Linked DNA regions of Rattus norvegicus. The protein of the gene in region 1 purifies or fractionates together with the protein of each later gene. This does not show direct contact. Links are inferred from orthologs where the notes say so. Each region holds a gene or a part of one and is shown on either strand. Other genes may lie near its edges.

Region 1 (4,100 bases):
TGTATATATGTTTGTGTCTAAATATGTTTGTGTCTAAATGCACACATGTATGAGAATCAGCTTTCTTTTTTTTTTTTTTTTTTTTTTTGGTTCTTTTTTTCGGAGCTGGGGACCGAACCCAGGGCCTTGCGCTTCCTAGGTAAGCGCTCTACCACTGAGCTAAATCCCCAGCCCCTAGAGAATCAGCTTTCTTATTCCACCATGTGGTCATGGGGAATCAAGCCTTGGTGACAGGCACCCTTACCCACTGAGCCATCAGCCCACTGGCTTAGAACATGTACGTTTAAAGTTTTGGTAATTTGGGGTTGGGGATTTAGCTCAGTGGTAGAGCACTTGCCTAGCAAGCGCAAGGCCCTGGGTTTGGTCCCCAGCTCCGAAAAAAAGAAAAGAAAAAAAAAAGTTTTGGTAATTTTTTTCAAGTTTTTTTCAGAGCTAAAGTTTCTCTGTGTAGTCTTAGCTGTTCAGTGCAGGCTGGCCTCAGACTCAGAGATCTGCCTGCCTTATCGCACCAGGAACATTAGGGTCTTTTACAACATGGCCTCACTTTGTAGTCTAGACTGGTCTCCCAACTTGCAGGGACCCTCTTGCCTTAGTGTCCCATGTGCTGGGATTACAGGTGTGAGTCACCGCAGCCAACTCTGGTAGCTATTGCTTAGCTGTAAAAGCATTAGAGGAATATACTCTAATAGCAAGTTAATGAAAACACTTATTTTGTATGATGTTTTCTTTATTTTTATTTTTATTTTTTTTTTCGGAGCTGGGGACCGAACCCAGGGCCTTGGTTTCCTTTATTTTTATGATATACGTGAACCCCTCCTGAGACAGGCCTCATTATGTAGTCTCAATTTGTAGCAATTCTCCTGCCTCAGCTTCTCACGAGCTAGGATTTACAGATATGAACCACTACATCCAACGTAGCACTTTTATATTTTTAATTGTGGGTACCTGTGCAGAGGTTATGTGCACAGAAATGTAGGTGCCTGAGGCAGAAGAGGGCACTGGAGCCTGTGGAGCTGGAGTTACCGGCAGCAGCGAGCCACATGCCTTGAGTGATGGGAACCAAACTCTGTAGGGACAGTATGCCCTCTCGGCTCTGATCCAGCACTCTTAATGAACTCTCAAGTACTGATTTCCCCCACCCCTTTCTAGTACCCAAGAAGAAAGCTGAAAAGAGCTCATCGAAAATGAAGACTCATTTCAACTACTTAAATACCAGAAGCTGGTTTTTGTTTGTTCTTTTAATTATGTATATGTACATGGAAGTTCAGGTGCCCACAGAGTCCAGAAGAGGGGTCAGGTCACCAGGAACTGGAATTACAGGTGGATGTGAGCTGTTGAACTAGGAACCAAATTCAGGTCCTCTTCAAGAACAGTAAATTTTGTTAACCGAGCCTTCTCTCCAGCCCATAGCACCTTTTTTGGGGGGGTGGAGTGGGGATAGGGTCTCAGTGTGTAGGCTTGTCACTAGATATGTAGACCAGGTGGCCTCCAACTCACAGAGATCCACCCTCATCTGGCTCCTGAGTGCTGGGATTAAAGCCATCATGACTGGCACCAGAGATGATGATTCTTTTCTCTTCTTTCTTTCTTGCCATTTTGAGACAGGGTCTCTCTGTGTAACCCTGGTGGTACTGAGAATTCTTAATGGCACCCTTTACAATCAAATTTCCCATGAGACTTAGAAACTTCTCAGAATATAGTCTCACATTAAATAGCCTCCAGTTTTTGAGGTACTAAGTCTGGCCAAGGCATATCATAATCACATTAATATACTTTCTCATTTTAATTCTCTATAAGAAAATGTTAATTATCCTTATTTTTAAAGATAAGCATATAGAGATTTAGAAGTAGTTAAGTAAGCCACATAAGGTGGCTTGTTTAGATGTTTCAGAATTCCTAAGCAAGTTCGATTGACTCCAATGAACACATTCTAAACCACTTTACTATAATGCATATTACAAAATATTCCAGATATATTTTTATCAGATTTCTGTAGACTTAATTCCCTGCTTTTCTAACATCAACATTTTGAAAGAGTGTGATCTCAGGCCTTTGTCTTTCAGATTATCAAAAAAATTGTTTATCTAGTATTCAAATCTAATACAAAGCATCTTGTATTTCATCGGACAATCCTACCAGTAGCAGGGCTTTACGTTCCCTAATTCCAAATAGGCAAAAAAGAAAAAAAAAAAAAAAGTCCAACGGAAGCGCTGGACATTAAAATGGTGCAGACAGGCTACTGGAGTAGCCAGTGACTGACTCCGGAAAAAGCTACAGTGACAGAAGGTGAGAATCAATCCCCAAAAGTACTCCATACAACATGGTCATCAAAAAGCGTACAAGTCACAAGACCTTAAGAAAAGAAAGAGCTGGAACACACCCCCATAAGAAATGGACGGAAAGAATAGGAAGTGGGCCTAAGAGCTCTCCTACAAAACACAAACGAACCATGACACGAGTAAATCCAAGTCCCAGGACCCACTAAGCAGTGCAGACTGCAGAGACTCCACTAACCCTAACCCGCCTCCCCTCGGTTATTCCTCTGGGCTCTTCCAGTAGGCCCAATTCGGTCAACGGGTCCTCCCATTCTCTCTTCCTTGGTGACAGCACCTCCCCTACCATCCAACCTCCGTAGTTCCCCTCTTCTTCTTCACTACCTTTCACCCGCGCGCTTTTGGTCTCGAATTTGGTTAGCATCCTTCAGGCCTTCGGCTCCCAGGTCAGATTAGCGGATCCCGCCGCTCCCGGTTGCACTCCCAAAGGCTCCACGTCAGCTACCCCAGGTCGCGGCTCCCGGAAGCTCCTCAGACACGAACTTCCGGTTTGGGGAGCGCTGGGCCACAGAGACGATGCCAGCGGAAGCCTAGAGAGACCGCTAAGAGACTGGAAGGGACCCGAGGCTTCCGCCCAGCGGAGAGGCAAGATGGCTACGGCTAGGGGCGGCTCTGGGCCTGACCCAGGAAGTCGGGGTCTCCTTCTTCTGTCTTTTTCCGTGGTACTAGCAGGTGAGGTCACCCCACCCGGACCTCTGATCTTTAAGAGGAACCGTGCGGAACAGCTCGTCGCAAGTGCAAGCGTTGCCCTTCTGGTTCCGATTTCCCCTCTGTCCCCAGCCCTGTAAATCCTTCTTGTCTTTCGTTCCCATGACATAAGTTCCTCCTTTACCTGAACCTTCATTTCTTCTCTCCGGAGGCATGTCGTTTCGCTTAGTTCTCCCCAGCCCTTTTCTGGGTTTCCAACCTGCTTCTCTTCAACCTTATTCGCATGCCTTGTATGCCTTGTTTTATTTAAAGCCCAGCCACCCCAACAGCAATTAAAAGGGACAGGTGTGAAAAGCTCATCCTCTTTCCTTTGGTTTAGTGTTTTTTTAGATCAAAACAGTCTTGTTTTGTGGTCTCCGTGCAACGTTGCAAAATAAGAGCTCTCATTTCCTCCTGTTGGTTCTAGCTTAAAGTTGTGTTCCTTATTCTCTTTACTTATTAAAGTGAGGCTAACGTTAGCTTCGCTGCTCTAAACTGTTAAGAGGAAAGTAATGATTCAAGGAATTTAAGACGTTTAATGTATATGAATATTTTCGTTTTTTCTAATCTAATGTCTATTTAAGTGATCTTGCAATTGTGAATTACAATCAGTAACACACCTGTAATTATTTATAATGCGTTCAACTAAGAGTTAAGAAAAGCTATACTTTTTTGGAAATGTATGGCTTACCAGTTAAGCCCTGAAATGCAACCATTTCCTTGTATAACCATGACTCTATATTTCTCTACACTCATATTGCTTTTGACTAGCTTCAAGGGAGAAACTGTAGCTGCCCCATACTCTAGGTGTGCTCCCAAATGGTCTGATGTTTCATTAACTGAACAGGTGTGTGGCATAAGGTTTCTTCCCCCCAGGTCTGTTCAGATTCTGAGGTGGTTTTTATTGTTGTTAATGCTTTTCTTTGTTTGGTTTTGGTAATCAATATTCTTAAACCAGAGCTCTTTTCATAACTAATTAGTAATGTATCTATACAAATTAGAAAAGCAGATTTGTTTACCCTTGCAACTAGACGCTGGCACATCTGAAGTCAAAGACTTTGGACAATCATCTTTTAGCTT
Region 2 (4,290 bases), on another chromosome or scaffold:
GTGGAATCAGCTGTAAAGCAGGTTGTCTCCTACCTTTATGTGAGTTTGTTAGAAGTTAGGGGTTGCAGAGAGAGGAAAGAGGGGTGGGGGAGAAAGAAGGGGGAAGGTGGAGACCACCCCTCCTATTGTAGTATCCTCCCAGGCAAACATGACTTTTGATTAATAGGGTGTGCTTCCAAGAAGAAGCACGCAGACATGGGAACCACATTTTTATTCTAACTCAGGTGGTGACATTGTCTTTTAGTTTTAAAAGAATCCCAGTGGGGTTGGGGATTTAGCTCAGTGGTAGAGCACTTGCCTAGCAAGCGCAAGGCGCAAGGCGCAAGGCCCTGGGTTCGGTCCCCAGCTCCGAAAAAAAGAAAAAAGAAAAAAGGGAAAAAAAAAAAAAACCCAGCAAAGGAATTTAAAGGGGAAAAGGTCAGTCACATTAATCTGAGAGTAGCATGGCCTTTTTACAAAGTTAACAAAATTTTTACTGGGTGTGGGTATTTAAAATTTTGTATTAAAAGTCTTACAAGGCGGAGGAAGATAAACAATATTTGGATTCCTTGTCAAAACACAAGTTTTACAGTATTTAGTAGAAAAGACTCATTTCATAATTTTCACAATTGAACCAGGTCCTCAGGTTTGGCAGCAAGCACCTTTATTTACCAGCTGAGCCACCTCATTGGCTCTATTTTTTGAGGTGGAAGTCATGTAGCTTTGGTTGGTGCCGGAAGATGGCCTTGAACTCATCCTTTCTCTGCCTCATGAGTGCGGAAATTACAATGTCCAGTTATATCTCAATTTTTTTTTTTCCGGAGCTGGGGACCGAACCCAGGGCCTTGCGCTTGCTAGGCAAGCGCTCTACCACTGAGCTAAATCCCCAACCCCGTATATCTCAATTTTTAAAGCACAAGTGTACATAACTCTAATATTCATTGGCTTACAAAACTAGACTTTGATGGAATCGGTTCCTTGGCTAGCAACGGGTGCCCTTTTCCCCCTTCGCGCCCCGTCTCCCGCCTACGACGACCCCCCTGGCACAATCCTTGGGGACAGTGAACTTGTCCGAGAGCAGCTTCCCAATAAATTTGCCTTTAAAATATTCTAACCTGGCTTGTTGGCTCATTTCACCGGCGGCGTAAAAATAACCTATCAGTGAGACTTCCGGAAAATGACAATAAAGAGTAACAGAGAACGTTTATGGGGTCAGCGTGCTGCAACTCTCCCAATCAGAACGCCCTTTAAATTCAGCCGGCAGCAACTGCAAAGACATCAGCCACCGGAACACACGGGGGCGCAGAGGCGGAGCACCCGCAACAGCAGGTCTAAGGCCCCGCCCCATTGCTCAGCCACGCCCATTTTCCTGAGTCTCATTCCTAGCCTTCCGCTCTCCTCCACTCAGCTAGATTTTGACTGTCTCCGGGCAGGCAATGAAGGTGTAACGTGGAAGCAGTTGTGCGCAGGCGCAGACGATAGAGTGCGCAGGCGCAGTCCAAAGAGCAGTGCTCAGGGCGACGTGGCGGGCGGGAGTACGGAAGCCGCTGGGAGAAATTGATCTCACCGCTACCCTGAGCATCTTTCTATTGCGTGGAGCTACCGCTGGCACCATGTTGAAGAAATTCGACAAGAAGGACGAGGAGTCTGGTGAGGGACCCTTGAAAGTGTTGGGAAGGCCAGATCCACGCGGGGATTCACGCGACCTTTCTAGGCTTCCTTCTTCCGGGCCTCTGTCAGAACAAGATTCGAGGCCAGAGAGGGGCAGGGGCTTGTGCGCAGGTCCATAGCAATTCTTGGAGAAGACGTGCTGTTTGCACTCTCCAGTTCTGGTCAGAATTGATGCGTGACCTTGTGCGGGTCACGCACCTCTCTGGACCTCAGTTTCCCCATCTTGTCAGAGGAGGTTCCAAGGATGGGTGCTCCCTTGTATTCCACCCGACCTCTTGGTATTTGCCAAAGCTGCGTTGGTTCTTTGCCTATCTGGGTGCAACCAGTCCAGCAGTTAATAACCCTGACTGTTTCTTTCACTCATTCAATAAACTACATCAGGAACCTCACTGATCCTGATATTGCAGTACCTAAGGCAAGTGCGACACTAGATGCCTGCAATAGGAATGTTAGGATGGTCACATAATGGAGGAGCCAGACAGTAACCAGATAATCACATGCATAATTACTTAATGTAATATCTGCTGTCATCTCAGTCACAGGTCAGTTAGTGTTGGTTGTCCCTGGCACATAGACTCACTTAAGTTCTGGTTGTACGAGTCAATGCTAAATGTTATACCTTGAGAGTCACAGAAAGAATGCTAGGTGACTGTGAGAGGACCTTGACTGCCTCTGGAAGATGATATAGACTTCCTTCCCGTCCCCGTGTTTGGCAGAATCTTGAAATTTAGGGTCCCAGTTTGGGGCTGTAACAGTTGGTAGAGTGCTTGCCTAGCATGCATGAAGCCTTGTGTTTGATCCACAGCACTGCGTAAACCAGGAAGTAGAGGTAGGAAGATCGTCCTCTGCTAAAATTTGAGTTCAAGGCTAGCATGGAATACGTGAGACGCTGTCTCAAAAAAAAAAAAAAAAAAAAAAAAAAAGAAAAGAAAAAGAAGGAAAGAAATCTATCCAAGATCACAACCTGTAATCAGTCTTCTCTGTTCACTGTAGGTGGAGGTTCCAACCCCCTCCAGCACCTGGAGAAGAGTGCAGTACTCCAAGAGGCAAGTTCCATCATACCTGTGTCTGGTCAGGGATGCCTGCCAGCCCTGCTGTCAGACACTAACATACATAGAGTGCTGGTTTACAGAGCCTGGGCCCAGGAAGGTGGGACCTACTAATTATATTGCTAAGTGTGACTAGTACGAGGGCAGCACAAGCAGAGACTTGGGGTATTACCTAGTCATAACGTAGATCAGTTAAGAGAAATAGGCTCTCCCCACTTGAGAATACATTTGTGTGGACTGACACACCCCGTGGTTCTCTAGGCCCTTCATGAACTGAGGGGCAGCTGTGGAATGGAAGTGTACTAGGCTAGAGGTAATGGTTGCTTCTTCACAGGCTCGGGTCTTTAACGAAACTCCTATCAACCCCCGGAAATGTGCCCACATCCTCACCAAGATCCTTTACCTCATAAACCAGGTAACAAGATGGGGCTTGGCAGGGAGTACAAGGGGGACTGTGTAAGTGGGGATGTACCCTTAAGCTTTCGATTGACAGCTCTGTGATTGGAACCAACAGTCTAGCCCTGGGTCCTCTTAAGTTTCCAGCTCTCATTTGTTGCTTGTGCTCCAAAGGTCTAGCCTGCTGACCTCCTGTCCAAACCTGCGTCTTTTCTGATTACCACAGGGGGAGCACCTGGGGACCACAGAAGCAACTGAGGCTTTCTTTGCCATGACCAAGCTCTTTCAGTCCAATGATGTAAGTACGTCAATCTGCATGTCTGCAGATGTGACGCCTGTGACAGGGTAGCTGGCAGGAGGACAACTGCCTTCCACACAGTCAGGCTCCTCTTGAGTCAGGTCCTCTCCCACTGAGCAGGACTGATAGGGTCTTCTCCATGTCTTTTCCAGCCCACACTCCGCCGAATGTGCTACTTGACCATCAAGGAGATGTCCTGCATCGCTGAGGATGTCATCATTGTGACGAGCAGGCATGTCTTGGGCAGGGGTGGCTCCTCTGGTGGGACCCATTGACAGAGACAACTCGTACAGCCAAGGGACTCCTGACATCTGGCCTGTGCCCTGTCCTCCTAGGCCCACCCCCTGCCAGCCTCTAGAGTGGTCTGCTTCTTTCTCACTTCTCTGGCCTTGCTTCTCTTCCTCCTCCTTAGACGGCACAACCAGTGTGGAGCTTTCAGAGAGTCTTTAGTCAGTGCTAAGGAAAAGAAAAACAGATGCAAGAAATCCTTCAGAACTGGGAGTCAAAACTGGACATGGTGCTATACACTTGTACTTACAGCGTTTGGTAAAAACAGGAGGATAGCTGCCAGTTTGAACCTGCTTGGGCTACATAAGAAGATGTCACCAAGAAATAAAATAAAACAACACCCCCCCCCCCACACACACACACCTAGTTCTTTTATTTCTTATTGACATTGCTAGCCAAGGAGAGGGTCCATACAGCCAGTTTCAGGTACATTGATACTTACTGGGGCTGGAGAGATGGCTCAGTGGTTAGAGCACCAGTTGCTTTCCTAGAACCCACATCAGGAGGCTTAAGAGCATCTGTTACTCCAGCTACAAAGGACTCTGATGTGTCAGAGGGCACCATACTCAGGTATACATACTCACATGCAGACAGATACTTACATTGCTA

What was found. Proteins that work in one complex are often made in the same cells at the same time.
Region 2: the proteins of Copa (region 1) and Copg1 purify together in Homo sapiens (affinity purification with mass spectrometry; 6 studies listed by BioGRID and IntAct, counting the BioPlex papers as one, with this or other methods). This does not show direct contact. The link is inferred for Rattus norvegicus from reciprocal best matches to the Homo sapiens genes COPA and COPG1.

Annotation. Positions count from the first base shown.
Region 1 is NC_086031.1:87,077,571-87,081,670, reverse strand, and holds the start of Copa (coatomer subunit alpha), read right to left. Parts: upstream 2,804-4,100; 5' UTR 2,698-2,803; coding exon 2,658-2,697; intron 1-2,657. Other genes in the region: Ncstn (nicastrin precursor), read left to right, coding at 2,924-3,005. UniProt on the Homo sapiens protein: The coatomer is a cytosolic protein complex that binds to dilysine motifs and reversibly associates with Golgi non-clathrin-coated vesicles, which further mediate biosynthetic protein transport from the ER, via the Golgi up to the trans Golgi network.
Region 2 is NC_086022.1:121,922,476-121,926,765, forward strand, and holds the start of Copg1 (coatomer subunit gamma-1), read left to right. Parts: upstream 1-1,486; 5' UTR 1,487-1,592; coding exon 1,593-1,629; intron 1,630-2,643; coding exon 2,644-2,696; intron 2,697-3,033; coding exon 3,034-3,114; intron 3,115-3,321; coding exon 3,322-3,393; intron 3,394-3,545; coding exon 3,546-3,625; intron 3,626-4,290. UniProt on the Homo sapiens protein: The coatomer is a cytosolic protein complex that binds to dilysine motifs and reversibly associates with Golgi non-clathrin-coated vesicles, which further mediate biosynthetic protein transport from the ER, via the Golgi up to the trans Golgi network.